4 linked regions of the Notamacropus eugenii genome follow. The protein of the gene in region 1 purifies or fractionates together with the protein of each later gene. This does not show direct contact. Links are inferred from orthologs where the notes say so. Each region holds a gene or a part of one and is shown in the gene's direction. Other genes may lie near its edges. The genes, in order: OTUB1, ubiquitin-conjugating enzyme E2 E1, UBE2E3 and FOXM1.

The links.
Region 2: the proteins of OTUB1 (region 1) and ubiquitin-conjugating enzyme E2 E1 purify together in Homo sapiens (affinity purification with mass spectrometry; 4 studies listed by BioGRID and IntAct, with this or other methods). This does not show direct contact. The link is inferred for Notamacropus eugenii from reciprocal best matches to the Homo sapiens genes OTUB1 and UBE2E1.
Region 3: the proteins of OTUB1 (region 1) and UBE2E3 purify together in Homo sapiens (affinity purification with mass spectrometry; 3 studies listed by BioGRID and IntAct, counting the BioPlex papers as one, with this or other methods). This does not show direct contact. The link is inferred for Notamacropus eugenii from reciprocal best matches to the Homo sapiens genes OTUB1 and UBE2E3.
Region 4: the proteins of OTUB1 (region 1) and FOXM1 purify together in Homo sapiens (affinity purification with western blotting; 4 studies listed by BioGRID, with this or other methods). This does not show direct contact. The link is inferred for Notamacropus eugenii from reciprocal best matches to the Homo sapiens genes OTUB1 and FOXM1.

Annotation. Positions count from the first base shown.
Region 1 is NC_092873.1:16,814,510-16,821,791, forward strand, and holds the start of OTUB1 (ubiquitin thioesterase OTUB1), read left to right. Parts: upstream 1-4,282; 5' UTR 4,283-4,402; coding exon 4,403-4,460; intron 4,461-5,331; coding exon 5,332-5,393; intron 5,394-5,914; coding exon 5,915-6,013; intron 6,014-6,540; coding exon 6,541-6,659; intron 6,660-7,059; coding exon 7,060-7,144; intron 7,145-7,237; coding exon 7,238-7,282. UniProt on the Homo sapiens protein: Hydrolase that can specifically remove 'Lys-48'-linked conjugated ubiquitin from proteins and plays an important regulatory role at the level of protein turnover by preventing degradation.
Region 2 is NC_092874.1:30,659,741-30,667,055, reverse strand, and holds the start of ubiquitin-conjugating enzyme E2 E1, read left to right. Parts: upstream 1-4,310; 5' UTR 4,311-4,372; coding exon 4,373-4,527; intron 4,528-7,315. UniProt on the Homo sapiens protein: Accepts ubiquitin from the E1 complex and catalyzes its covalent attachment to other proteins. Catalyzes the covalent attachment of ISG15 to other proteins. Mediates the selective degradation of short-lived and abnormal proteins.
Region 3 is NC_092876.1:244,823,802-244,831,233, forward strand, and holds the start of UBE2E3 (ubiquitin-conjugating enzyme E2 E3), read left to right. Parts: upstream 1-4,426; 5' UTR 4,427-4,820; intron 4,821-4,917; exon of another isoform or gene 4,918-5,104; intron 5,105-5,111; exon of another isoform or gene 5,112-5,478; intron 5,479-5,514; exon of another isoform or gene 5,515-6,006; intron 6,007-6,048; exon of another isoform or gene 6,049-6,161; intron 6,162-6,180; exon of another isoform or gene 6,181-6,546; intron 6,547-6,569; exon of another isoform or gene 6,570-6,807; intron 6,808-7,202; 5' UTR 7,203-7,227; coding exon 7,228-7,421; intron 7,422-7,432. UniProt on the Homo sapiens protein: Accepts ubiquitin from the E1 complex and catalyzes its covalent attachment to other proteins. In vitro catalyzes 'Lys-11'- and 'Lys-48'-, as well as 'Lys-63'-linked polyubiquitination.
Region 4 is NC_092874.1:202,997,865-203,005,083, forward strand, and holds the start of FOXM1 (forkhead box protein M1), read left to right. Parts: upstream 1-4,219; 5' UTR 4,220-4,516; intron 4,517-7,219. Other genes in the region: RHNO1 (RAD9, HUS1, RAD1-interacting nuclear orphan protein 1), read right to left, coding at 1,083-1,652, 3,413-3,580. UniProt on the Homo sapiens protein: Transcription factor regulating the expression of cell cycle genes essential for DNA replication and mitosis. Plays a role in the control of cell proliferation. Also plays a role in DNA break repair, participating in the DNA damage checkpoint response.

The DNA of each region.
Region 1 (7,282 bases):
ATTTTCCACCGAGAGCTGTGTTGGCCGGGGGCTCCTGCCCTGTGGCCTCTCCCAGGGACTGAGCTGGTGCTTGGATGTTGGGGGGCTGTCTACCTTGTCATACTACAGGCTGGGAGGTTTGGTCAGGGCAGAGCAGACAGGTGGAATGGATATAAAGAGGGAGAAAAAGATGGAGGCCAGTAGGGAATAACCTTATTTCACTGCTTTCTCTCACTTCAGGAGGATCCTTTTTTTTAGAAGTGGTGGTGGTAGCTAAGGTTGAACCCCTTGTTTGACTATTTCTGGGCTTTCCCCCATCACCCCAGTGGCTCCACCCCATTTCCCTGGGCTTCCTCCAAGACGGGGCCTTCTCCTTCTGACCCATGACTGGCTTTCCTTTTTCACAGATGCTGCCTTTGTGAGCAGGAGGGGGGCATTCCACCCTGAGCTTTGGGGCACAGGAGTCTGAGAGTCACTGGGAAATCATCCTGGGGCTTTATCAGGCACCCTTCCTGGGCAGATCAGGAGCAAGCACTTGCCCTCCCTTCCCTACAGCAGGGCCTAGCCTGCAGATCTGGGCTCTCAGTCGAGAGCTGGGGGAGGATGGGTGGTATCCTTTTGGGATGGTGCCACCTTCCTCTTGCAGAGCACTGGCTCTCACCTGTCTTCCCAGAAGATCATATGGGGAGGGGGGAATCTGAGCCCTGGTGTTGGTCTCATAGCCATGCTCCTGATGCTGAGCAAGGATGTGCCAAGCAGAGGCTGACCTTGCGGGTTTCCCTGGTAACTGCCACCCTCCCAAGGCTGGTCTTCCGTGCTGCTCACTATAGCCTGCTAGGGGTAGGGGGAGGTCGCTTCTCATTGGCATGGGGTGGTAAGGGGGAAATTGTGTTGCTTGGGGCATCTGGCATTGAGCTTGAGGTGGGCAGCAGCCACGGCCTTCAGAATTGCTTCAGACTGTGTTGGGGATGGAAGCTGGCAACTGGAAGTGAGGGGGGTGGTTCCTCAGTCCTGTGGGCAGTGCATGTGGCAGCAGGTGTGTGCGTGGGGGTAGAAGGGAGAATCGGGGGCCATGACCTGGCATTTTCAGGCTTTGTATCCCCTCATCCCAGGGGAAGCTGACTTGGATTGAAATCACAGGGTTGCGCCCCCATCTCAGCTTTCCCAGGGCAAGCTTGAGGGATGAGAGGCTCCTCACTAATTCCTCACAGGAGTAAATGAAGACCTATTGCTCCTTGATCTTGTGAGAGTCCTGGCAAAACTTGCAGGCTGCCCCTGGAACGTGGCTCTTTGAATTGGGAGTGGGGTATTTTTGCCCCTTATGGGTTGCTGAGTGCTCCAGTACTCTGACTTAACTAGAAGGCTTGAAGTAGAGACACTGCTGAGTCTCCTCTGACATCAGAGCTGCCCTGGTTCACTTGGTCCGTGACTCTGAGCCTGTAGATAATCGGAAATACTTCCAAAGGTTTGGGAACACCTGACTGGTAAGACTCCAGGGCCTGCCTGGTGGCAATCGAGGCTCCCCATCACCCTGTCCAGCAGCCCCTTCCCTTGTAGGAGAGCTGTGGTCCCCCTCCCAGGAGGACTGGCTGCCTCCTCTGGCCCACATTATATGTCTGACCTGGGGAAGAGTCAAGGCATGTCCCCATCACGCCCTCCCCTAGCCCCTTTGCCTTTGTGGCCATCTTGGGCCATTGCTTCAAGCTCTGCCTGCCAGCCAGCTCTTGCAGCAGCAGGGCTGAAAGGATCTCAGAGATGCCCAGAAGGACCCTGTGTGAGGGCAGAGCCTGCCCTGGCTGTCCTGAGCACAAGCTGGGCTACCCATGCTTCTGGCCTGGCACTGCTGCCAAACCGGGGTCTGGCCTGGAGTTTGTCCATTAAATGTAGACTAAAAATGGCCAAGCAGAGCATGGGGTCCCTGTAAGAATACAGTCTGGCAGTGGGACCCACAGAAAGGAGAAACTGGCTGTGTGTGAGGCCCAGACAGTCTTGCTGCTCTGCCTGGGTACCACACCCACTGACACAGCCCTGGGGATGCTCAGTGGATGTCTGAAGGAGGAGGAGGGGGCAGCAGTGCATGTGCCTAGCTGGAGGCAGGGGGAAGCAGTATCTCAGGCCCCTGGCTCACTCCAAAGGAGGGTCTCATCTGGATTTACAATGCAGGTCACCACCTCACCAGATTACATTCTACGAGCCTTTCAGGTGACCCAGACATCTGTCTGCCCTGAGCCACAGCCAGGCCAAAGCAGGGATCTTCACCTGGACTTGGGGTTTCACCAACATGGGGGGTTACTTTTCAGCCAGTGAGAATTCCTGAAGCGTTAAAGTTTCCTAACTGAAGTAGTCATTAGGCTTTGATTCCCAGACATGCCACCAGCACTGTCTGAGATGCTAAAGGAGAAGAGGAGATTCCCTTTAACCTCTAACCAGGCTGGGGGAAGGGAGGCTTCTGGTATCAGTCCCAGCTCCAACATTCTATGTTTGAGAGGTTCCCAGGAGCTCAGTTTCCCATTTGTAAAATGGGAGTGTAAGGTAGATTATGGCTAAAGTCCCTTTCAGCTATGGAATATGGGAGAAACGTTTTAGGTGGTAGGAGTGGGGAAAGGAATCGAGAGGTCTGAAGTAATAACCATAGACTCGACTAGTGGGATGGGTTTGTCTCTGGCCCTGGGGCCTGGAGCTGTGATGGACGTAGCCTCTAGGCTCCTGAATTCTTCACTTCGATTTTATGGTCCACTGTCTCATGTCTGAACATGGTACAAGGTGAACATGGCAAAAGGCCTCCAGGGGACCCTCAGAGTTCTAGGCTTAGCCCTGTGCTGCTAAACATTCTGGGCAATGACCTGGATGAAAGCATAGGTGGAATGTTTATGAGATGTGTAGATGGCGCACCATCTACACATGGATGGGACACCTAACACTCTGGATCCTAACGGGGCAGAGCACTGGAAACAGGATAATTTTAAACGGAGGATGAATAAATGTCAAGCCTTACCCTTGAGGTCCAACAACCAACAGCCTGAGTCTGAGGTGATGAAAGCATCGCCCAGTGAGACCGCCACCAGTCTGAAGGTCTAGAAACTTGTTGTGAAAGGTCAATACAAGTGAGCAGTGGGAAATGGCAGCCAAAGCCTTGTGGCCATGTCAAAGGCTCCAGTTTCCAGGGAGAAGGCCATAAGTCACTGCATGCCCAGCTCTGACCAGACAACATCAGGAGGAGGAAGATGCTCAGTCCTGGGAGCCACAACTTAAGAAGGTGATAGATGAGCTAGGGAAAGGGGTAGCAAGGATGGTGTCCCATGAGCATAAATGGAAGGAACTGGAGATTTGGAGCCTGGAGAGAAGACTTAGGTAATATGGTGCCTCTGTTCAAGTATTTGAAGAATTATCAGGTGGAACAGGGTTGGACCCAGAGGGCAGAATCTGGGGCATGTTGCCAAGAGGTCAGGTTAGACTTGATATTAGGAAAAAAGCTTCCTAATCATGAGAGCTGTTCAGAGTGTCACAGGCTGCCTTGGAGGTAGACTGCAGTGGGGTACAGGAGGGAGGGAGTTCCCCCTCACTGGAAATCTGGAGGACTCATCAGAGGCTAGGTTATAATGGGGACACCCTTCAGTTATAAGCCGGATGTCCCTTCAGCTCTACATTTTGTTAAAGTAGCATGCTGACATCCTCCCTTGGAGTCTTTACAGGAAAAAGAGTGGAATTCAGAGCTTCCAGTTTGTCTCCTTGGGCAAATCACTTACCCATCCAATATCTCATTTTGCTCATCTGTAAAACAAGGAGACAAGCTCCGAGGCCTCTCCCAGGCCTCCGGCTTTGGTCCTAGGATAAGAAGGTGGCATCAAGGTGGCCCTGGGGTGAAAATGGGCAGCCGGGGAGGCCTGCTGGGCATCTTTTTACCAAGTTCCACTGCCCTGAGACTTAAGCGCCTACTCTGCGTGGCGCCTCTTGTGCTGGGTGCATGCGCCTCGGACCCTTCTGGCCCCTGGCCCTGGGCACTCTCTGCGGCAGCTGGGCTAGCTGGCGACTCCTGGGCCGCAGGGTTCCTTCCCGCAGGCACCAAGGGGTCCGAGGGGGAGGGCCTGGGTGAGCTGCAGGCGTCCCTCTGCCTCGGTGCTCCCATCTCCACAATGGCGGGCCTCCGGACCTCAGTTCCCTCATCCGCAAGCCCACGGTGCTGGGCTGGAGGACGTCCAGGGTCCCTTCCCGCTGCAGCTTCTGGGCTCCATCTCCCGACGCCTCATCCCTAGCTTCCCGCTGACTGGGCGGCCCACAAGGGAGGGCGGGGTGGGGCGGGGCTTCTGGTTGCTATGGGCGTTGCTATGGAGCTCGGAGTCCGGGGCAGGCGGGCGGACGTTCACTTCCGGGAGGAGAGGCGCTAATAACCCGGAAGTGGTCGTGGGTGCGGCGCTGTTTAAAGATGGCGGCGGAGGAACCTCAGCAGCAGAAGCCGGAGCCGCTGGGAAGCGACTCGGAAGGTAGCGGCCGCGGGGGCGGAGGTGGGGGCCGGGAGCCCCCGGGGAGGGCGGGCGATGCGCGGCCCGGCCATTACGGAGGGGGCTGCGGCCGGGGGCCCTAGAGCGGAGCCGAGGCGCGCGGGCTCCATCGCTTCCCCCCCACGTACAGGGGAAGCAGCCGCCGCCTGAGACCCCCCCCACCCCCACCCCCGGCCTCGCGGGCGGGGGCGGAGGGGGAGGGGCGGCAGCGGGGCGCAGGCACGTGAGCGCGCCTGAGGGGCGAGCGCGCCTGCGCACGGCGCGGCCGAGGGGGAGGGGGGCGCGCCCAGTGCCAGACCGAGGCTGCCGCGGCCTCGCGACCGCCCCTCGCGCGCACCTGCGCCCACGCCCGCGCGCGCCTCCCTCCGGCTCCCGTAGGGCGGGGACGCTGGGCCAGGGGGCGGGGCCTCCTTCTCCACGCCCCGCCCCCTGGGCCCTCCCCCTCACACCCCCAAGGCGGACGCTCAGAGAATCTTGGATTTCCTCCCCCCGCGCCTCATCTCCCCGACCCCTCGCTTTCATCCGGCCCCTCCCCCATCCCATGACCTCACGGCTCCCCTTCTCCGCAGGGGTGCCGCCCGCGGCCCCCCGCACCCTCCATCCCTCTGGGTGGGTCCGGCCGGCTCGGGCTCTGGGGCACCGCCTCCCCCGGCCTGTGTGGGGGGCGCTCCCTGAGGCCCAGCCCCGCCGTCACCTGGAGCGGCCCTTGCCCCCGGAGGGGCGGAGATGACGAGTCAGCGGCGGGGCTGGGCCTCGAGCCCGGGATGGGCCCAGACCCGCTTCTGGGCCTGACCCAGGTGCCTGCGCAGAGCAGCGGCCGGCGGGCCTCCCATCTGCTCTTTCCTTCCCCCAGGAGTTAACTGTTTGGCCTACGATGAAGCCATCATGGCCCAGCAGGACCGAATTCAGCAAGAGGTGAGGGGAGGAGGGGCCCGGGGAGCCCCGAGGGCCGGCTTGGCCTGGTCTCCCCCGGGGAAGGACGGGGCCTTAGCGAGGCGGCCGCTTGCCCCGGTCGTTGTCCTGGGAGTTGGGGGGTCTGGAGTTGTGTGGGCGATCCCCCCAGCACGTCTTTGAGAGCTGGCCAGCTGCTGATCTGCGCGGGCCTAGGGACTGATCTTTCCAGGAGAATCCCAGGCTTGGAGGATGACAAGGAAGCATTTCTGAACCCGAGGCCCCCCTTGTTGTTCTTTGGGGCTTGGCTCCTTGGTCCCCGGATCACTTGTCCAGCCTTTGGTTTGGGGAGCAGCTCCTCTGGCCCTGCCTTCTGAGACTGGCCGAGGGATACAGGAGAACCAGGGCTTTTCTGAAAGCAGACCAAGGTCCTGCCAGGCGTCCACAGGCTCCTGTGCTCCTAGTTGGGGATTGGGGTGGACGCAGATATTTTCCTGGACCTGTCAAGTTGCTGCTCCTGTCCCTTCCTTCCCTCCTCCTTGCAGATTGCTGTTCAGAATCCACTGGTCTCCGAGCGCCTGGAGCTCTCTGTGCTTTACAAGGAGTATGCGGAAGATGACAATATCTATCAACAGAAGATCAAGGTCGGGGCTCCTAGACCCCCCTCCCCGCAGTAGGGGGATGAGGGAACCTTCTGATTCCACCTGAGAGCCGGGGCTTCTGAAAGTGGACGGGGAAAGGCCCTTTGTAGTATTTAGTGTTGGGTTCTACAGGTACTTAGTAGGAATTAGAGAAGAATTGGTTATTGAATCACTTTATAGGCCAGGAATTGACTTCTGCTATCACCTGGTGTGTGCAGAAGTCTCCTTTCAGCCCAGCCCTCTGGGGACTTGGCCCACCTTGTCCCAGGTACATCATTGGGGGTAGCCATGGCCTTTCTTCTCACGAGGCCAGAGTGGTTAGGGAGCCCCACATTCAAGTGCTGTTAGTGAGAACAGTTTCTGCCTCCATTTCTCCAACACCATTCCTTGCTAAAAGAACATCCCGTTTCTCCACTGATCCTTCTCTGTCCCGCCCATCTCGAAGTTCTCCGCAGGCCATGCCAGTGTACAGAAGGGAAAGCTGCCCATCTTCACCTTGGCCTTCAGTGCCTTCTCCATTATCTCCACAGGACCTACACAAAAAATACTCCTACATCCGAAAGACCAGGCCGGATGGCAACTGCTTCTACCGAGCCTTCGGGTTCTCCCACCTGGAGGCCCTTCTGGAAGACAGCAAGGAACTGCAGAGGTATGCCCCAGGGCATCTGCAGGGTCCCCTTTCCTGAAGCCCGTTGCAGGCCGAGCCCTCCGCAGTGAGCATGGCTGTCCCATCCTGTCCTGTCTTAGTCTTACAGAGCACTTCCTTGACAACAGCACTGGCAAGTAGGCAGTACAAACAGCCTCCTCACTTTGCAGTTAAAGAAACAGGCTTCAATTACAACTAGTCTGGGGCGCCATAGTCAGAGATGTCAAACTTAGGGGTCCCAGCTGGGGTGTCTTCACCTCAGATCCTAGTCGTCTTTCCATCTGCCCTTTGAGGAGCCCCCAACCCTTCTGGGCAGCCCGTGCCATCTCTGTCTCATTGGTGGCTCCCATTGGCCGCCTCTTTCCCCTTCCTCCTTTCAGTGGCTTTGCCTTCTTTCCGGCAGGTTCAAAGCCATCTCTGCCAAGAGCAAAGAGGACCTGGTGTCTCAGGGCTTCACCGAGTTCACAATTGAGGATTTCCACAACACGGTGAGCTGGACCCTCACACTGGTGAACTCAGATGGGGAGGCCTCGGGGCCAGGCGGGGTAACTGACAGCTGCCCTCTCCCTCCCTCTGGACAGTTCATGGACCTGATAGAGCAAGTGGAGAAGCAGACCTCTGTGGCT
Region 2 (7,315 bases), on another chromosome or scaffold:
GAAGAAAGGTGGGAAAAGATCCTTTGGAGGACAGGTAGGTGGGAAGGAAGTGGCTTCCTATTTCAATGAGAATAGTTCTTGGTCAATAGGTGCTAAATTGGGGAGTGGGGGGGGGCACTTTGCTAAAGTGCTACAAGCACTATCATTGTCCTGTAAATTTCAAGGCCTTGGGACAAGTTCCTGTCCCTCATCCTAGGGTCAGCTCTGGATGAAGGCTAGCTAGGCAGGGATGGGGGTCTCTATAGTGCTGGAAGGGGAAGGGGTAGTTATAAAGTATGTCTTTTATTCTTTCTACCTGAGATAATAGCTTACTTCAAATAATACACCTTACAAATGAATTGTAATTTGAGAAGATTCTTTTGCCAGATCTCTTGAATTTTGGGTTTCCTCAATAATTTCATCTTTATTGAATTCAATATGCCATCCTGAAACCACAATAATCAACCAAGGTTAGTTTTATGAGAAGGAATACATAGAGAAAAGGCAGAAATCTTTGAAATGTGGGGAATAGAGAATTCAGCAAGCATTTATTAATCACCAACTGCGTGCCAGGTGCTAGAGATACAAAGACAAACATGAGATGGCTCCATCCTCAAGGAGTTTACATTCTACTGAGATGTTATATGTACACAGATAAATTAAAAATGTGACATCCATACTACATAAATAACTACATAGATACATACAAAATAGTTTGGGGAGGTTTTTTAAGAATTGTAAAATCATGATAGGCCTCTCCTATCTAGATATGGCAGCACTGGATATGAGCCTTGAGGGCAGCTAGGGAATCAGAGAGGCAGAAGTGAGGAGAGAGAGCTTTTCAGGGATGGAGGATAGAGGTGTGGGAAGCCAGGGTAAGGCTTAGGACTAGATCCAATGCAACGGCTAACTAAGCAGGCCAGTTTACCTAGAACACATCAGATAATGAGCCCACAGAGATCGCTGGATTCAGAAAGGGAGGGGTTTTCAAGGCCAAATAGAGGGGTCTGCATTTTATCCCAGGGGCAATAGGAAGCCTTTGAAGCCCTGTAATGGAACGAATAGGTTAGATCTGTGTTTTAGGATTATCAGTTCCACAGCTGTGGGAAGGATTAGAGAGGGAAGGATGGGTTCAGGGAGACTAATTAAGAGACCCTGGAGGTTATCTAGGAGCCGGGGGCTGTGATGGGAATAGAAGGAAAGGGACGGATGGCCCTGGACAACTGGCAGTACAACTGAGGAGATGGGGATTGGAAGAGAACCTGGATGAAGAGATAAAGGGTTGTACATTCAATAGCACACAGGGAATATAAGAGAAGGGAAGGGACTGGGGGGAAAGACGAGTTTTGTTTTGAATCTGTTGATTATGAAATATGCCTATGGCACAACCAGATGAAGATATCCAGCAAACAGTTGGAGATGCTGGATTGGAACTCAGGAGAGGAATGACCGCAGGATATGTATATATGAGATTCATCTGGATGGGATGGGAGTGTAGAGGAAAGAGGAGAGGACACAGGGCACAGCCCTGGGGGTACATTTAGGCATGGGTGGATGCTGGGGAAGCATAGATGATGCTGCAGAGGAGACCTGAGTAGGATGACCAAAAAGGTAGGAAGAAAACCACAAAACCCAGGGAAGAAAGCGTTTTCTGAAGGAGGGAGACATCAACCCTTGACAAATCCTTTCTGAGAAGTCAAAAATGGTAAGGATGAAGAAAGATCATTCACTGAGTTTAGCAGTAGCTCATGGATGACCTTGCAAAGGCCATTGCAATCCAATGGCTCAGACCACCAGGAGCTGAAGTGAATCATAGGTGAGAAAGAGGAAGCAAAAGGCACGGAGGGCCTTGTCAGAGGGAGCCTCTGGACCCCAGAGGAGGAGGAGACTTCAAACTGTAGAGAGACCTTAGGCACTGTCTCTTTGCTCTGTAGGTCAGGGTAACTCAGAAACCAACAGTGGAACATGCTTTATTGTCATGGCAAGCACACCCACACAGAGGGATCAGTACTTTCCTTGACAGAGGGATTCCTGCATGAGAAAGTCTCTCCACCAAAGCAGGCCAGCATCTTCTCTGAAACTTAATAGTCTTAGAGAGCTGCCAGGAATAGTGGTATCCAACTCACATAGAAACAGGGGGCCCCTAAAGCACACCTAAGAATCCCTGTGCTTCTCAGAGGGACTTAGAAAACCACATGTTAATATTATCTGTTTTACTGTATTTGTATTTCGTCAAATATTTTCCAATTATGTTTGAATCTGGTTTGGCAACAGAGAGAAACGTGGGCCTCTGGCCTAGCACACTTTGAGGTCAAGCGCCTTGGCCTCTGCCTGTGAGAGGCAGCATTTGAACGCAGGTCCACCGGGCCTGGTCTCTACTCACTGTTCCTAAAGTGGGTTTTGTCGTTTTTCTTCTTTTTTTAAACAACAAAGCACTTTATTTTGTCACGTTCAAGTCTTTATTTTTCTTCTTCCAGGGAATGTTATTTTCTTCAGGCTCTCCAAGGGCTGTTTCAGAGAACTTCCCCGAAGCTGCATCATCAGGGACTGTCAGGATGCACTGGCTTACATCCCTGTCCTGGGTTAGGCAGCGCCTGGAGGTGGGAGACTGAACTGGACTGACCTCCCCGAGGTCCAAGTCAGCCGGAGGGGATCTCGGGCGAGTTTCCTGGTGAGGGCTGAGCAAGGCTGGGGTTGTTTGGAAAGGGGGGGGCAGGGTGGGGGGCTGGTCACCCCACTGGACTGGGGCTGGCGCCTTCGGGAGGGACCCCCACAGATGGCTGGTGTTCAGAGATGCCCCGGGATGGCTTAACTGCCGTTTGTGGAAGCACCCAAGGGGCCCCGGAGCGGACCGGACCAGAGGGAGGGTCGGGGCCGCTGTTTGGGTAAACGGCCCTCGGGGCTGGGCCGTGCCCGGCGCGGGGCTCGCTCCCCCGGCCTTTCGGGCGCCCCCTCGTACCGGCCCCCCGGCCCGCTGTGACCCCGGAGCGCCGGGCGCTGCGGCCCCCTCTGCCCCCCGCCCCCCCCGGGCGCTGCGGCCCCCTCTGCCCCCGGCCCCTCCAGCGCTGCGGCCCCCTCTGCCCCCCCGAAGCTGCGGCCCCCCTCTGCCCCCCGCCCCCCCGGGCGCTGCGGCCCCCCTCCCGCCCCCGGCCCCCCCGGGCGCTGCGGCCCCCCTCCCGCCCCCAGCCCCCCCGGGCGCTGCGGCCCCCTCTGCCCCCGGCCCCTCCAGCGCTGAGGCCCCTCGAAGCTGCGGCCCCCTCTGCCCCCCGCCCCCCCGGGCGCTGCGGCCCCCTCTGCCCCCCGCCCCCCCAGCGCTACGGGCCCCCCCGCCCCCCCAGGCGCTGCGGCCCCCACCCGCCCCCGCCCCCCCAGACGCTGCGGCCCCCCTCCGCCCCCACCCCCCGGCGCGGCGGCCCCCACCCGCCCCCGCCCCCGCCCCCCCAGGCGCTGCGGCCCCCCTCTGCCCCCCCGAAGCTGCGGCCCCCCTCCGCCCCCACCCCCCAGGCGCTGCGGCCCCCTGTCCCCCCGGAGCGCCCGGCGCTGCTGCTCCCGGCCGCGGGGCCCCCGTCGGGGAGGCGCTCCCACGTGCGCCGCGGCCGCCCCCGTCGGGCGGGGGGGCTCGCCCGGAGGAGGGCCGTGCGGGGCCGCGCGCGCGTGAGTGTGAGTGTGCGCGAGTGTGGCCGAGGGAAGCCATTGCCTGTTTAATAGTTGCTGTTGCAGCACTTCCGCTTCGGTGCCAGCGAGCGAGCGAGAGACACGAGTGGCCAGGCCCAGCCGCCGCCGCCGCAGCCCCGGCGGCCCGAGCAGCGGCAGCAGCGGCGGGAGCAGCGGGCGGAGCGGCGGGCGGAGCGGCGGCGGCGGGCGGAGGAGGAGCGGCGGCCGACACAAAGAGCGAGCGAGCGAGCCGGGGAGCGAGCGAGGTACGGGCCCGGCCCGGGAGCCCCCCGCGGCCCGGCCCGGGAGCCCCTCCCCGCGCCGCGGCCCGGCCCGGCCCCCGGCCTCGGGGTGGCCCCGGGGGCGGGGGCGCAGTTTGCGGGGTTCCACCGGGGGGTTTCGAGCCCGGTCCCGAGCCGGCCCGGCTGCTCCTTCCCCCTCCCCCACCCGGGGCGCTCCGGCCGCCCCCCCCCCGGCCCCATGAGCGCCGTTTCCGTAGCGGGGACCCCCTCCCCTTCTCCTCCATCCTGCTCGTCCCCTGCCGGGCCAGCCCTTTAAAGCCCCCTCTCCCCGGGCCTAGCGAGGGAGCGGCGTGCGGCCCGGGCCCCCCCAGGCAAACGAGCCGGGGGGGCCGGCTGAGCCCCTCCCCGCCCCCCGGGCGCCCCTCGGCTACTCACCGGATGGTCTGTGTTTTCTGTCTCCCGCAGGGATTGTGGGGGGTGGGGGTGGGGGGTTCGCTATGTCGGATGACGATTCGAGAGCCAGCACCAGTTCCTCCTCATCCTCATCTTCCAACCAACAGACTGAGAAGGAGAGCGCGGCCGCCCCCAGGAAGAAGGAGAGCAAGGTCAGCATGAGCAAGAACTCCAAGCTCCTCTCCACCAGCGCCAAGAGGTGGGTGCCCCCGCGGCCCCCCCTGCCCGCGGCCCCCCGCCCGCACCCCCCCCCCCCGGCCCGCAGCCGCGGCCAGCCCCCCGCCCCGCCCCCCGCCCGCCCCGCCGGCCTGCTGGCCTGCCGTCAGGCTCCCCGGTACCTGCCCCGGCCCCCCCCCAGCGCCCTCCGCCGGGGCCTCCGGACAGACGTCCCCAGGACAGACGTCCCCCCGACAGACGTTCTCAGGACAGACGTCCCCAGGACAGACGTCCCCCCGACAGACGTTCTCAGGACAGACGTCCTCAGGACAGACGTCCCCCGGACAGACCTCCCCCCGACAGACGTCCCCCCGACAGACGTCCCCCCGACAGACGTCCGGCCAGCCTCGTGGCCGCCCGCAGCGCCGTGGGCTTCCTGCCTTCTCACCTGTTGCGTGGCAGGGTAGGTGCCCACATCCTGCGTGACGAGGCACTGGCACTAGCCAGAGGGGCACAGACTTGAGAAAGGACGGGAGAAGGTACTCGCTCTTGGAATTCCAAAGGGGGCTTTGCCGCGTTGTCCAGAACCTTCCCCCCCTTTTGTTTTGTGCAGAACTCTCAGCTCTTTGCCTTTCGGGGAAAGCCTTTCAACTTTTTCCTTGGCCATCCTGTCCTTCCTGCTCCAAAGCCTTAAAACAGTTTCTTTCCTTCGGTGGTTTACCTTGAGTGAAAATCCCTTCCTCTCCATATAGTTCTTACATTGTCCCCCTCTTAGCATGGCCCTGTCTCCCATCGTTCATTAATAGGATCTTTTAATTCTCCTTTTCCGATCAGCGGGAGCCCTCAGAGAACACTCTGGGAAATATTTCTAATCCAAGTCAGTTGTAAAGGGGTGGACTCTGATGTAGGCAGTTATTAGACATTGAACTGACCACAGGGAGGACAGGAGGGAGATGTGTCCTGGTTGGACTAGGGTGAGTCCTTTAGAGAAAATTAAATATAAGATGGGCTGTTTGATCTTTGATTTCTCTAGGAAAGAGGTGATTTGTTTGAGAATTCATTATTGTGGTGTTCTTCACTGGCTGGAATCTGGGATAATTGGGATCTAGGAAGCTATGGTCACCCCAACAGTAGGTGGTGGAGACAGATAAAAAGAAGGCCAGCAGTCCTCAGCTGGCTTGATCCTTTGGGCAGTGACAAAACTTCTCTGAGCCTGTTTCCTGGGCACTAAAATGGGGATAATATCTGCCCTTTTTCCCACAAGGGGTGATTGTGAGGATCCAGAGAGTTAGTACATGTGAAAATATAGGCAGTATGAGCACTTGGTGGTGGCCATGTACACCTGAGCAAGTTTGCCTTTTGCCAGGTGCTTCTGAATCCTAATCCCCAGGGCTCTCCTTTTGGTCTGGTCTGGTTAGGAGCAGGGCCCAAGGTGGAGTGGGATGTGGGGAGCACATAGGATTGATTGCCCTGAACCTGTGAGATGGATTTTCAAGGGATGCCATGGGGTCACTTGCATTTTTTTTGACTAAGGCAGAAGTGGACCTTCAGGAATGGGGAGGGCTGTGTCTCTGCATATTTGCTTCCTCATTTTGTACTTGGGTAAGCATCCCTACTATACAAGGATAAATAGTGGGCTGAGGCAAGTGTGACAGATGCTGGCAGGGCTGCATTTAGGGTCAGTGAATTTCAGAGCAGATAGGCTGTGGTTGTTTTCTTAGGAGACAGAATTGGTTCCTTTGAGGGAAGAAAGTTGAGCAAGCTCCTTTACTTGGGAATGATAGGAAAATGAGGTGACTTGAGAAGGGGGAAAGGAAGTGGTCCAGCAACGTGTCTGGCATTTTTTGGAGGGGGGAGTCCTGGATTTGTGATTTCTTTGGTCCGTGGAGTTCCTGCCAAGGGCATTCAGAGAAATGGTAACTCTTTGGCAGTCTAAAGTGTAAGAGGGTTGCTCCAGGATGTTGGGGGGTTCAAATGGCTCACCCATACTCACATAGCCAGGATGTATCAGAAACTGGACAGGAACCCGTGTTTTCCTAACTCAGGAAGCATTTCAGAGACATTTCAGAAAGGTGGAGTTTTCTCCTTAGGGATGGGAGAGAGAGAGAGCCTTGGTGAGCAGAGCAAAGACTGATAACCACATGTTGTTGGACAGTGGTTTTTTCCTGAAAGCCCAGATCGCAAGTGGTCGTAGATAAGAGTTTGATGCCCAAATAGATGTGTGTGAAAGCAGCTTTGGCAAACACTTTGCCGAGTAGGAGGTGGGTGATGTGAATGTATGTCTCAGAGATGCAGAGGATAAACAGTTGACTGCTTTTTATTCTTAAAAGCAACAACTGTCTAGTCTGTGATGTTAGCTAAAATTGGGCTGGCAGGGGAAAAGCTAATAAGGATTTCCAAGTGTGTTGAACTAGAGAGAAAGGCATTTCTGTATATAGACAGAAAATATTACATTGAGTGTAAATAGAGGGGAATCCAAAAATCTTGGTTCCTTGCTTACTTGCTCAGTACATTCAGAGCTTTTCAGTCCAGTATTACGGCCAGAGATATAACACAGCTGATGGTGGCAGGAATTTTGAGAAAAAACAGATGTCAGAAATTGAGAAGATATGTTTAAAGATCATTACATTTTTTGAGGATGGTGGAAGTGACCTCAGGCAATTGAAATTGGGGGTTCAAATAATTTCCAAATTCTGTCCTCAAGTTTTCACTTTATTTCTTCATAAATAACCCCAGGGTGGTAATGGTATGGTGGTGGGAGAGTCAGGATGGGACAGGTCCAAAAGTCTTTCCTAGAAAGAGAAAGTGAAGTATGTAACCTTTAGTCAACT
Region 3 (7,432 bases), on another chromosome or scaffold:
GTTGTGCCAAGTTATACAGTTACAGTTACTGGCAGAACCAAAAGTTGAACTCAGTTCTTCTGAATTTAAGGTTATACCTTGCAGGCCCAGGGCTATCACTTAAATGCAGGTTAGATTTATTTTTCTGTATACATTTACCCACAATGAAGCTCATTTGCCATTTTTCACTAGCTTGCATAGGCTGATGACCTCTTTACTTTATCCTAGTTCACCAGGGATTTTACTACCTAGAAGGGCTAATATAATTTGTACTTTGAAATTTTACTGTATATGCCCTCTTCTAGAATACTTTCAAAAAGGTTAAAAAAGACTCTTCCTCGTGGAGATCCCTGAAGTACCCATTTTTAACACTTGTCTGTCCAAGAAAGACCTATTTATTTTTAACCTTTGCTTTCAATCAGCTAGTTTTTCAGCCATAATAAAATTCTCCAATCCATCTTGTGGTAATTCAGTTTCTTTCTTTTTCTTTAATGGCTTCGGGTCTGCAATCTTTTCCACAAGACTGAATACCAATCAAATTAATTCAAAACTCTGGATGCACATGTATTATTTCTTATTGGGTAACCTTAATTTAGACAAACGTGAAGGAATACAGAAGAAAAAGTTAATGTCCAAAACGTATATGCGCAAAGACTATTTGGTTGGTAAAAATCTCACTTTTCCTGTGTCCTCTTGAAAAGCTGTAGGAGCCATCCTCTGGAAAATGTCTTTTTGTTATCCATTTTTTTCTGAGCCTCAAACAGAGGACTACTTGGGAGGGCGAGAAACTGAATAAGAATGCCACTAATGTTTGCCTTTTTGATCTGGAAATGCAGATCTTTACTATTCAAACAAATGTATCTAGGCTACACATTTGAATCTACCAGTACTCAATTAAGTTAGAGGAGGGTAGGGAATGGAGGGAGGGTGGATGAGACAGAGAGAGAGATCCAAAACAATGTGGCTCAAGCCACATTGTCCATTTTCAAGTGGAAAAAGACAAATCTTATGTGTACTGGGGTTGGTATCTTTATCTGGGAACAGTTAGTACTTTCAACTTGTTTTATATTATCTCTCCCTTCATTGAAAGCCAGTTTAGAGAATTAGTTTCAGAATTGGAAAGGACTAATTCAACCTATACCTGAAAAAAAGATCCTCACTATAATACACCTGATAATCCAAAGCAGCCCATTCCACTTTTGTATAGCTCTGATTGATTTTTTTCCCCTTCCATCAAGATTAAATTGACCTCCTTGCAATTTCCAACTATTGTTCTAGATTCTCTCTCTGGAGCTAAAGAGAAGTCTAGTCCCCTTTCTATATGACATCTCTTCAAACACTTGAAGCCAGCAGTCATGTTTCTTCACCAATCCCACTTCAAGTCCAAATATTCTCTTTTCCAGGCTGAACATCCCCAGTTCCTTCAACTGTTCTTCATACGGCATTAATTTTAGGTTCTTTAACCATTCTGATTTATATCAGGAAAACCCATAAACAATAGCACAGATGAGGAGAGCAGGGTATGATTTTAGGAAATGTTGAATAATCTGGAGGGGAAATATGTGAAGCACTAATGTGAGACAAACTTGGAGGGGTAGGTTAGAGTCAGATTGTGGAAGACTTTAAATGCCAAGAATAGACTGTATTCAGTTGGCAGTGCCATGATCAGAACTGTGTAATAGAATGTTTAATGTGGAACAATACCTCCAACAACTTCAATAACACTGTTTAGTAGCATCACTGATGTTAAAAAAAAAAGAGACTTTTTAATTTTGTATCAAAATCCTCCAAGACGGAAGTCATCCCAGGACCAGGAGGGAACTAGAGACAGTATCCACTTCATCCACTCTTTTTCAAAACTGTCTGAAAAAGGAGAGGTGTTGTTCTTCCAGAAAATATCCTTAAGTTCCCTATTGTGGGGGAAAACTGAAATGAGCTGCTCACCACTTCAGATAAAAATGAGCGAAAATGATTTTAAAAAAACCCTGAAGCAACCCCCTTCTTACCCCCTGCAAAAAAAAAAAAAATATGTCTTCCTAGTGAACCAGTTCAGTTCTATTGATGGATAAAATTTCTCTTTTCCCATTTTATTGGTAAAGCCTTGATAGCATAGAGAAGTATGGGTATAGGTAAATGGATACCTATATCACAATATTTCGGAGCTGGCCAGGATTTTAATTAATAAGTCCAATGTTCTTATTGTGCAAACAAGAAAATAGAGGCCCAGAGAAATGAAGGGCCTTGTCCAACGTCACACAGTTCTAACTCTGCTACTAACTAGAATTCAGGTAACTTAATTTCTAGTCTAGTACTATCTGCAAAGCATCATGTTGCTCCCAAAAACTAAACAGGAAGGAAGGAAAGAAGGAAGGAAGGAAAGAAGGAAGGAAGGAAGGAAAGAAGGAAATAAGAAGGGAGGAAAGAAGGAAGGAAAGGAAGGGAAGAAGTAAGAAAGAAGGGAGGGAGGATGGAAAGAAAGGGAAAAGAGAAAGAAAGAAGAAAAATAAAGAGCAAGCAGGGAGTTAAAGGAATACTGAGAGAGCTTGGGGGGCACTTGAAAAGAAAGAAAACAGCTGAAATCAACAAAAGGAATCAATCAACAAACATTTATTGAGCACTATCCTAATCCTTTTTTGGGATATCAAGTCTGAGGTCCTTGTTTTCCAGGAGTTAACAGGCTGGTTGGAGATATAAGGTAGAGATATTTGAAATGTTTAAACAGAGGGGGGAAATGAAAAGAAAGTAAGAAAAATATTTTTAAAATCATCAAAAGGAACTACATGACTAATTTCTGGATGAATAGGATAAGGATTAAGTGCGCTAGGAGTTCAGAAGAGGACATCATGGATCTAAGTTTTTAAAAAAGATGTGATTTTGACTGGATCTTGAAGAATAAGTGAAATCTGAAAAAGTGTTCACATTTCAGGCTGGAGGAATGATAGGAGAAACAAAAAGTAAATCAACAGATATTCACTTATCAAGTGCTGATTACATGGGAAGCCCTCTTTAGGTTAGGGATAGGGACTGGATATGTGAATTCATTTATAAAGGGAACTACAAAAAAAAATTAAAGTCCCTACCCTCAAGGAGCTTACATTTTAACAAAAGAGGAGAAAGTTCAAGACAACTTATTTTGCGTACATAACACAGACAAGAGCTGGAAGTGACTTTAGATGCCAGTCGATTTTACAGACCAAGAAGCTGAGACTGAAAAAGATGATTTACTTGTCATTTACCTTTAGTTAGTGTCAGATGAAGCAAAGACTAGAATTTGGGTCACCTAACTTAATGGTTTACTGTTCTTTTCACTTAATCATTAGCTAGAACTTTGGGTCCAAATCTGTAAAATGAGGGAGGTGATAATCACAGTACCACCTTATAGTGAATTGTATATCCCTTTAAAATGTATAAAGTGTTTTCATATTTTCACATTGGTAAACTAATTTAATTAAGGTAAACAGAATAGGAATTACTGATTTAAAACCCATATATATTTAAATAAATTCACAGATGGAGGCAGAAAACTAAGACTCACAAGTTTAGTGACTTGCCTAAGGTCACAGAGCTAGTATAGTAAATGGCAAAATTGAGTCCAAGTCTTAATGGCTCCAAATGATGTCCTTTCCAGACCTCTAAGCCTCTTTGTGCTATAAAATTTTGTCGCTATGAATTTATCTTTTCTCCTCAAAACCAAGTTCTTTACTTGCCTGCTCTATTTCTATCTCCCAGGTACAAAACCTGAATCATCTTACATTCTTCTCTTTCCCTTATCCTCCTCTATAACCAGTCACCAAATCCTCCTGAGTCTTTCTTCACAACTTTCTACATCTTTCCATTGACTATTACCATCTAACTCCAGGGCTTTAACAATTCACAGCCAGACAACCCCCAAGTGGTCTCCTTGCTAGTGGTGTTTCTGCCTTTCTCTCTCCCGTTCATCTTGCTTAAATAAAGCGCACTTTATCAACCCACTCCCCTGCACAAAAACCTTCCATGGCTCCCCACTGCTGCCAGAACAAAGTCCAAACTCCTAGCAAGGGTCAAAGTCCATTTTCCCAGAAATACCTTTTTTCTCCAACTTGCGTCCTTCAGTAAATACACGAATGTTATTTACTGATCAGATCTACTTGGGGAAACCTCTCACAAAAACCTTTCTATTTGGGGAGAAAAAAATCAGCCCAGTATGGGGGCACATTTCCCTTTTTGATGTACTTTCCGTTGAACTTCCCACACTGTCAGGACTCGGATCTCTTTTTCTCTTTTGCCAACATCTGTGTAAGTGGAATCCACAAATCCCTCTCGGGCTCCATCCCTAGAACCAGGGCTGCTCAGTAGCAGGGGCAGGTCTGGGCTGTAAACAGGAAGTTTTTGTATTTCTGGCCACCTTGTGATTGGGCCTGGGGCCGCCTGCCAGGAGACCAAAAAGGAACGGTTAATCCGAAGTACTGGGAGGGTGGGGGAGAGAGAAGGAATCTTGAGTTTGGGGCTCAGCCTGACTCGCGCTGCCAGCGAGGTGCATGTGTCCAGGGCCGGGGTCCTGCCTGCATGCCAGCCTCGCGCTGCACAAAGTGCTGCGGTCGCGCCCCTTTCCAGCGCGAGCGGGACATTTAAAATTTGTTATTCCCCCTTTTAAGTTTCCAGGGCCTCCGGAACCCCATCCCGTGGGGGAGCGCTGTTAAGGGCAAGGGCGGAGAAGGCGCCGGGGTCACCAAGCCCCCTGAGATCCTTCCCTGCCCCCGGTGCCCAGGACCGTCCTTCCCAAGCCCCCAGTCCCCTCCGTCCCTGCCCACTCGGACTGCAGGGAAGGGAAGATGGCTCTTCCCCGGTCCCTGGACTCCTCGGTAAATATCAATCCATCTTCCCGGGCAGGAGGGAGGCGGCGAGGTGGCCTTCGACAGCAACTACAGGTCTGGGGTGGCAGGGCCGAGATCCTGGGCCCTGAGGATCCACCCTCCCCCCACACCCAACCCTTTAGTATCCAGAGCCACCGCCGCCTCCTCCCGCACTGGGGGAAGGGTGCCAGGCGGGGGAGGAGAGCCTTTGGGGGTGACCCTCCCTGCTGGCGCTGCCGAGGTGCACCAGACGGCGAGCTCCCTCCTCCTCCTCCCCCGTGCAGAACCGACGGGTGGGTAGCCCAGTGGGTAGCTCAGGGAAGGGCGGTGGGGCAGGGAGAGTGGAGCGGTGCAGGCCGGAAACCACCCTGCTGCAAAATCGGCCCTCTGGCCCCTCGGGCGGGTGCCCCCGCCCTCCCCGGGGCTGGCTGGCTGGCCGGCCCGGCGCATTCCTCCGGGCCAGTCCGCCCCTGTCCCCGGCGGGCGGCGCACTCTTTGTCCTTGGCCGGCCCAGGCGGGCAGACGCGTGCGCCCCCCGGGTGAAGGGAAGCGCGGGGGGGGCGGGAGAGCGAGCGAGCGAGAAAGCGAGAGAGGGAGAGAGAGAGAGCGAGCGAGCGAACGACGGGAGGGAGCCAGCCCGGGCTGCCGGCGCGCGCCCCACAGCCAGGCAAGCGAGCACGCGCGCCGCCTCCTCCTCCCCCCTCCCCTCCCCCTCCCCTTCCCTCCCAGCTCGCAGGGAACTTGCTGACTGCACCGATCGGGAGGCGAGCGGGGACAGGGGAGGCCGTAGAACTCTCGGATCTCCCCCGTTCCATCTGGGCTCCCGGGGAGCTCGCGCCCTCACACAGCAGCGGCGCCTCCTCCTCCTCCTCCTCCTCCTCCTCCTCCTCTTCCCCGTTCCGTCCCCCACCCCACCCCCACCCCACCCCCGTTTTCTTTTCTCTCCCTCTTTTTTTTTTTTTTTTTTTTTGCAAAGGCGCTGGGCGGCGCCACCCTCCGGCCAGAGCGCCGCACTACACAACCCCCTACGACTTTCAATGTTCCACACTCCCCGGCCAGAGCCTCCTCTGCTTCTTTTTTTTCCTCCCCCCCCCTTCCCCCCTCCCGGCTGCTTCCATTTCCTTAAGGAAGGGTTTTTTTTCTCTCCCTCCCCCACATCTCAGCTGCGTGTAAGCGGGGCAGAACGGCGGTGAAGGTAAAGCTGGAAGGGTTTTTTTGGGGGGGGCGGTGAGGGGTGGGGGGGGCGGCTTGCAGCGGCGGCGGCGGCGGCGGCAGGAGCAGCAGCAGCAGCCGCGGCAGCCGCAGCAGCAGCAGCAGCAGGAGCCGCCGCCGCCGCCGGGGCGAGCTGGGGTTGGTTGGTGGGGGGGGAGGGGGAGGGGGGCCGAGGGAGCTTTGTTCTTGTTTTCGGCGCTCGCCCTGCCGGTCTCCGGGAGCCCGAGGAGCCAGGACTGACTTCACGCATCACTTGGTGCACACACCACGCTGATATTGGAGCGCTGCCTCCTACCATAACAAACCCTCTCCCCGTCCCTCCCCACAAAGGGGGCTGCAAAGCTGCATTGCCGCCGCCGCCGCCGCTGCAATTTCCTATCGAAAGCTTTTCTTTTTCTCTCTTTTGCAAATTCTGTTCGGAGTTCTTTTGGGGGCGGGGGGGCTTTTTTTTTTTTTGGCCAAAATGTCGGTCTGTAATATCAAAACCGAGCCAGGAACGGTGGCGTTGGGAGCTTTGCAGAAGGTGCAGTTTGAATTTTGCTTTTCGCTGTGGAGCAGCCCTGTGGTGGCCAAATGAATCTTTGCTGCTGGCCGTGCCAACCAAGGAGGCTGCTTTTTAGCCTCCCCCCCTTTTTTCCTTGGGGAAGGGGGGGAGGTACAGCGCTTAAAGGCTTAAGTGCCAAGAGAAAGGGGTTGTTGCCACGTTTAGGAAGCATAGGGGTGATTAGCAGGACGTGTTTTTCCTTCAGAGAGGGAATTTGGTAGCTCTGACCCACGTAAATGTGTAAATATTTAGACGTTATTAGTAACTTTGTAACATTTTTCAGCGAGGTCTGTTATTTACAATGTGTCAGATGTTATTAATGTTCATTGCTTAAGTTCCCTGGCAGATCTGTTTCGTGCCTTCTGAGAAAGTAGACAATTGATAGATTGTCCAAGGGACGAAAAAAATTCTGAGTGGGTTTTCCAAGTTGAGTTCTGTAAATCTTTAAATATTGGCATTCTGGTACATACATCACCTCCCTCTGTAACCTTGCAGTAACAATGAGATAAGTGTATAGACACTTTAAAAGGCTTATCATTTAAAAGACAGATTTTAGGAAATATTTTGCAGAAAGGAATGATGTGGAATTTGTTCTTCAGGTTTAACGCCCTTTTTTCTTTTCTTTTTTTTAAAAGTTTTCAGAGAAATAACTTGACCAAGATGTCCAGTGATAGGCAAAGGTCAGATGATGAAAGTCCAAGTACCAGCAGTGGCAGTTCAGATGCAGATCAGAGGGACCCAGCAGCACCAGAACCTGAGGAACAAGAAGAAAGAAAACCATCTGCCACCCAGCAGAAAAAGAACACCAAACTCTCTAGCAAAACCACTGCTAAGTTATCTACTAGTGCTAAAAGGTAATACCTAT
Region 4 (7,219 bases), on another chromosome or scaffold:
TCTAGCCCGTCTAGGATCTAGAAGCTCAGAGTTCAAACGTGCCTTCAGACGCTTGTGACAGCTCTGAGACCCTGGGCAAGTCACCTAACCTGTTCACCTCAGTGTCTCCAACTGTAACACAGGAATAATAGCACACTTACCTCCAAGAGTTGTTTTGAGGTTCAAATGAGAGAATGTTTGTAAATTAAACCCATATCCCCTGTCTTCTCCTCTTTCAAAATGAGAGTAGTTGTCTGACAAAGGATATTCCTTGTGCAAAGCTTTCTTTGCACAAGAAGAAATAACACTTTCTTGAAATCTCGCTACCCTGGAAAACTGGAACACGATTAAGTCCTACTGCTTAGCACTTGGCACATATATTAGGCATTTCATAAATGCTTATTCCCTTCCCTTCCATCCGCCCTAAACCTGCTCTTCCTCTGGTCATTTATAGAATTTTCTTTGCTCAGTCTTAGACCTGCCCTAGACTACCTTGAGCTCTTCAGTCTATCAGAAGAACCCCAAACTTGCCCTCTCCTGACCAGCTAGGGGCTTTCCTTTCTTCAGGCACTTATGCCACCTAATGAGTGGAGGCATTTGGTTAAGTATGAAATACTGGCCTACTACAAACAAAAGAGGCAGCATTCACTAACAGTTTTCTGCATTTATTTGTAAACATTTTTAATATTTTCTAAAAGTTATCTTCCCACCCTTAAGTGCATATTTACAATTTGTTAGAAATATTGTATAACCATTTCCCTTCTATCTGCTATGAATTACCTTTAAACTGGATAAATATCAGGAGGAAAAATATAAAAAGAATGGTCTGTGTATACTATGCCAGTAACTAGCAATACCAAAAAACAGATTATGGAACTTCAGCTTTAGTTCACATAATCATTCTGGTGCTTTTGGTTCCCTATTAAATCAACAGGAAGGACCACAAAGGTTCTAAATGACACTTGAGTCTATTGATTTAATCTCTTCAAGGGCCAGAAATTGGATTTAGCAGCACTATAAAAACCATCCATGGGGCAATGTAAATTTCTGCCCTTCTGGATCCAAGTTATTGGTAAAAAGGAATCAGTATTTCAAGGTTCCACTCATGTCTTCACAAGAAACTGGCTCATGCTCAATTTCCCCTTCTCCCTGAGGTAAGTAAGAAGTTGATACCGTCTTCTCCAAGTTACCTTCAGCCCATATTTCTCCTCTGGTGTGTCTGCAACCAGTACAGGGCCAGGGTCTGGGCTCTTGGGAGGATCCATTAGGAGAGGGCAGCTCTTTCTCATATGCTGCCTCTGGTCTGTGGGAATATGCCCACTGTCCTTCACAGGGGACTGTTCTGGGGTCTGGATATCAGGTGGGATAACCATGTAACCTGAATTTTGAAGGTCATGAGAGGACAATTCCGCACAGCTTTGAGGACTCAATAGAGGAACCAAGGACTTTCTGGCAGTGTCTTTTGGACACTGTATAGGGAAGTCCATAACTGAGAGATTGTCCAAAGCAGCTTCACTGGAAGAAGACACTGAACTCTCAAAGGACAGAGGTGGAAACCTCTTCTTGGTTGCTTTTCGAGAAACTTTTGCCAGGTTCTGAAGATTGTAAGGCACCTGATGTTGTTTTTGGTAGACTGGCAACCAGTCTCCTGTTTTCTCAAATTGAGGAGACACCTAAGAAACAAACAGAAGCTGTCAGCCCAGAACCACAAACATTGCTGGAAATTACTTCATCTCCATTCAAGAAGCCACAGATATAATGCTCAAGTTTTCTAAAATGAGAGCCTATCCACATTAAAATGAGCTCATTTTCTACAGGCATGAGCACCAGACTTGGAATCAGGAGCTTTGGGTTTGAAACCTGCTATGAAGTTATAGGATTTTTATGAGAAAAACACTATATAAAACTTTGTGAGTTATTTTTATTAGGTATCTACCCTATTCCTGGAGTATGGATTATTGCTTTTCCAACAACTTCTAACAAGTCATTTTTTAAAGCACTCTTTAAGCAGAAGCTGAAGTCCAAAATTGGCCCCTGCTCTTAACTTCTACTTCTTTCTCACAACATAATCCAAAACTCTTTCAGCTGGAGTCTTCAGAATGTTAAAACTTTCCAGTGTGTGGTGTTACTTTATAGCAGGCTATTAGATAGTAAACAATGTATCTAAAGAAGAACATACAGTATCTGGGACCAAAGAAAAATACATTTCTCTTCTCTATATCATGCCGCTACTTTTATCATCAGACCCTGCATTTTTAAGAATGCTCAGAATCTTGTTTCTGTCCTTGTCACTCTCCTACTCAGTAAACTCTATCTAGCAAGTCCCTATGGCCCCTAAGATAAAATATTAACTTTACCTTTTAAAGCCATTCACAACCTGAACCCAAACTATCTTTCCAGCCTCAGTGAACACTCCCCCTCCCACAGTCCAGTCAAAACTGACCTTTCCTCTGTTCCTCACACAAGACAATCTCCTATCTCTATGCTTTTCCATGGCTGCCCCCATGCCTTGAATGTAATTCCTCTTCATATCTGTTCTCTTAGAATCTCTCTTCTTTTAAGACACAGCCCAAGCACCACCTTGTACATGTACAAATCCCCCTACTAATGCTAATGCCCTCCCTACTAAACTACTAGTCTTTAACTACTTTGTATTCTACATATCCATACATGTGAATGCATATGTATGTTTAGAAAGATATGAACACATATATGTATGTACATATTGTCTTATCTTTTGGAATATAAACAACTTCTCAAATAGGAATTGTTCAATTAATTGTATTTGTATCCCCTGTGCCTGTCACTTAATAAAAGCTATTAACAAATGCCTGCTGATTGACTGAATCAGTGGTTGGGAGAGAGAAAAGGAAAAAGGTGGGTTCAAGTGTTCCTGAAGGTATTATTGGCTAATTGGTGTAGGTAAGGTCTTGATTTATCAGGCCAGCCACTAAAGGTCAACAGTAACAAGGGAACACCAAAGCAAAAGCACATTATTACTGAATCTTCAGACTACTCTTTAGTCTTTTGGGGGGGGGGGGAGGGGGATGAATGAACGGTAGGGAGGGAAGGATGAGACCTTCCAGCAAGAAAATGAACACAATGTCCCAAAATTCCCCACTGTAGTCACTGCTCTTTAAAAAGAATAGCAGGGCAAAGTAAAGCCAGTCTAAATGTCAACAATTCTCCCTCTGATTGGCTATTTCCTGATCAGCCCCCAGTTATCTAGCTCTTCTCTCAGCAACTGCCCATTTTTACAACTTAGGGGAAGAGCAGTTGGTTGAGGAGTTATGGTTTAGGAATTAGGGCCTCTTGCTCCTGTGTACCACTAAGTGGGTGAGTGACCTTCCTCCTGATGTGGGTCAAAGACAGTACCCACAATATGAGTCACCTCGTACCCAAAGCACCCAGTGTAAGAACTCGCTGGTCCTACCCAAGAGGTGATGGTCTGGTGATCTACTGGTTTGACCCGAGCATGCCTTGGGAGGGCTGCGGCTGGCTGTGGGGATCCATAGGGATGCATGGGACCCTCCAGAGGCCCCTCTCGGAATGCCAGTTGTGGTTTCCGGGACTGACTTTTGGGTTTCTTCCTGGGAGGCATCAACAGTCGAGGAGGGAAGGACCGTGAGTAGCCTCATGTTGCCTGGGGAAATACGTCGGGGAGATGAGCAAGGATCCTCACCCATGCCTAGAGATCAGACAACAAAACAAGCAGACAGAGAAAACCGATCACTGCCCGGGGCAGCAAAGCCCACCACGCTGGGCCAGACTAATCATCGCTCTCAGCGGGAAAGGGAGGCTGCTATTTACGTCCCAGAACCACCAACCTGAAAATGCAGGAGGGACTCAAGGCAACAGCATAGATTAGGCGCCTACTATGTACCAGGCTCAGCGCTGCAGGAAAAGGGAGGTGCTGCTCTGAGAAGGGGTGGGGGTGGGAGGCAGTGGGGTCACTTACACTGGGTGAGTGCAAGTCCTCCAAGGAAGAAAGCACCTGGAACAAAAGCTCGAGCATGAGAAAGGGGGTTCCGGGGGAGCGGACTCCTGGCGCCGCCTCCCCGCGTCCCTGCCCCCTCAGCCAGCCCCGGAAGTCCGCCCGACCCACTCTCAGCTGCCCGGCTCAGCTGTATCCGGCCCCTTCCCTCGTCCTCCCCCTCCCTCACTCGGGAGGCTCCGGCCCCTCTGCCCCCAGGCCCCGGCCCCTTGACAGGCCGGGCAGAGTTCCGGCCCCGAATGCTTAAACGACGCTCGGTCCCGATTGGCGGCGCCCGCGTCACGTGACCGGCAACGCTCCGCCGGCGCCAATTTCAAACCGCGGAACAAACTGAAAGCCCCTTATCCCCCTCCTCCCCCTCCCCCCCTCCCGGCGACCCCACCCCTCCCCCCCGCGGCCGGGGACCTGGCCGACCCGGCCCCTAGCGGCCCTGGGCCTGCTCCTGGACCCTGGCTCAGCCCCGGCGGGCTGAGGCTGAAGGGAAACCCGACCCCTGCAGGCCTACCTTGGGGCGGTGGTGGAGACAGCGGCCGCAGTGCTGAGGTGAGAGTCTCGGGTGGCGGGGGTCCCCAGCCTGCCTCCCTCCCCGGGAGGGCCCTAGAGAGCCCGGGCGGGGTGGGAGCCCCGGACCGGGAAAGGAGCAGGTCTCCGCAGCCGTCCTCCTTAAAATGGGCCCCCTCCAATGCCCAGCTCCTGGGCCGACGCGGGGAGCCCCGGAGAGAGGGTCGCGGGCCGGAGCTTGGATCCCAGCTCCGCAGCGACCGCCGGGCCCCGACCTCGGAGTCTTGATCAGGGAGTGAGTGACCCGCAGGAGGGAGTCCTCGAGGTGCCGCGGCTGCAGACGGTGCGGCCGGACCTGACAGCACCTCGGGACGGGCCACCGGGGCCCCCTCCACTGCGGGCCGGATCACGGCCCGGCCGCATAATGCCGGTGCAGCCCCAGCCTCCTGCGGAATTCAGCAGCAGGTTGGGCCCAGGGACCCAATCTGTAACCCCAGGAATCTCTCGACCCCCCTTGCTGGCGGTGTCGTGCCCTCCTCTGTTCAGTGTGGGGTAGTGAAAGGCTTTTTGCAAAGGACCTTGGATGGTGAAACCACTCAGCGTTTTGTTTAATGTTTATTATGCACCTTAGACCCTGTATTATCATTACTGGTAAATGTGCATTATTAAATTTGACATTCCTTGAAGGTGAGAGCTAAATTGTGTTTCCTCTGTTATGTATCCCCTTTAATGTTTTAACCCTGGGCCGTGTAGGTGCAGTCAAATACATAACTGAGCTAGTGTTAGGAGTGGGAGAGAGCAGGAAGACTTGCTTTTGGGAAAGGATATACTGAAAAAAAGGAAGCAGGATTTGAAGGTTTTGGGGGGAGGGGATGGCAGTAAAGGGTCAAACTTAAGAGAGATGGAGACAAGATAAAATTGCAGGAACTTAAAGAGGTGAGAACTTAGACCCAAGAATTAAGAGGTAGGAAGAGCTCAAGGGAGGCCCAGGTCATCTTACCAAATACCTATGACATGGTTAGGAATTGTGATTCCCCAAATTGTATAGCAGGGACCTAGGAAAAAGAATTCCTCTGATTCCCAGGATGACACTTTCTAACAGAATGATGTACATTTGAGGGATGTCTTCTCAAATAAGTATTTGAAGGTCCCAAGCCAAAGATTTGTTTCCTTCCTCCAGCTTTACACAGCTACCATAGCATCAGAAACCTGAATTCTAGTCCTGACTGCCATTAACTTGTAGAAATTGGACAAGTCATTTCTCTATACTTAATTTTCCTCATTTAAAATGCAGCTAATAGGTACCCTGCAGAGATGTTCTACAAATTAAATGAAGTAGTTGGTATCAGATACTTTAAAAAATGAAAGCATACAACTCTGTAATACTAGCGTTGCTATGGGTTCATAGATTGAGAGCTGAAAGGAACCTTAGAGATTAGCTTTATCATTTTACAGATGAATATAGCCTGAGGCTCAGAGGTTCTGATCAGAAAACATCATGGTTAGTTCTAGGAGCTATATTTAGTATCCACCCCAATGAGGTGGAACTATGAGCCAGAATGGTGAAGAGAATCGAAATGTTGAAGCGATGCGACATAAGGACAAGTGAAGAACTGGATATATTTAGTTGAGAGAAGAGAAAACTTAGGGGCACATGATAGTGAAGAGGTTTGAGGTGCTGCTACCCTGAGAATGCCAAGTCAGAGTTGCCTGCAATGAATTCACACTCAAGTTTTCTATTAGTCAAGAGGCAAAAGTTTTATTGTAACTCCAATAGTAGCAGGTGAAGTTCCTTTGGGGAACTTGCAACTTAATGGGGTTGAATCTAAAGCTTATATAGAAAAGGGGCAGGTAAAGGAATGTTAAGAATGCTTATTTATTAAGTAATTCAAGGAGTCCAGGTGTCTGGGAGCAGCCGTCAATGATTTATGAATGGGAAAAGTCAAGGAGTCAGCAGAGACAACTTTGCTGATATCAGACATTGAGGAAGAAAGATAGTTTAGCTGCCAGAGACTTGGACCTTGGCAATCTGGTTTGAGGGAGAGTCCTTGGGCCAGCAAGGCACAAAAATCCTTGGGGCAGGCACCCCTGTGTTTGTCCTTTATCTAAGGACATGTGTTCTGTAACAAGGGGAGAATTTTCTTATGGGGGTGAGGGTCTGGGATTCAGAGTTGCTTAGGCGTGATGTCTTAGGGCTTTTGGGGGTCCAGGTCCCACCACCCCATCAATAGTACTTGAAGGTCTGTCAGGTAGAAGAGAAATTAGACTTCAGAGTTTGCTTCTGAACACAGAACTAATAATAATTAATTGACAGAAATTTCAAGGAGGCAATTTTAGACTATAAAAGTAAACACTTCCTGACAAGCCTTACAAGGTAGTGGTTCTTCCTCAGTGGAAATCTACAAGTAAAGGTTGGATGACCTCTTGTCCAATATGTTATTGGATGAGGTATGGGTTGGATTAGATGGCCTCTGGGGTGCCTTTCAACTGTCTGAGATTCTCTGAGGTTATGATTTTCCTAAGGTCATATAATTAAAGAATAGCAGAAACAGAATTCAAATCCAAGCTGTCTTGACTTCAAATCCATCATTTTCCCACAGTGCCAGGCTACAATAAATAAAAATCTACATTTTTTCCTTTCTTTAATACTCTCTTGAGACTGAAAGCTTATTGTAACAACTTTCATTTGAATTTTCTATTCCCTGGGATTATTATATCAAGAAAATGCCCACCAGAAGCAGCAAG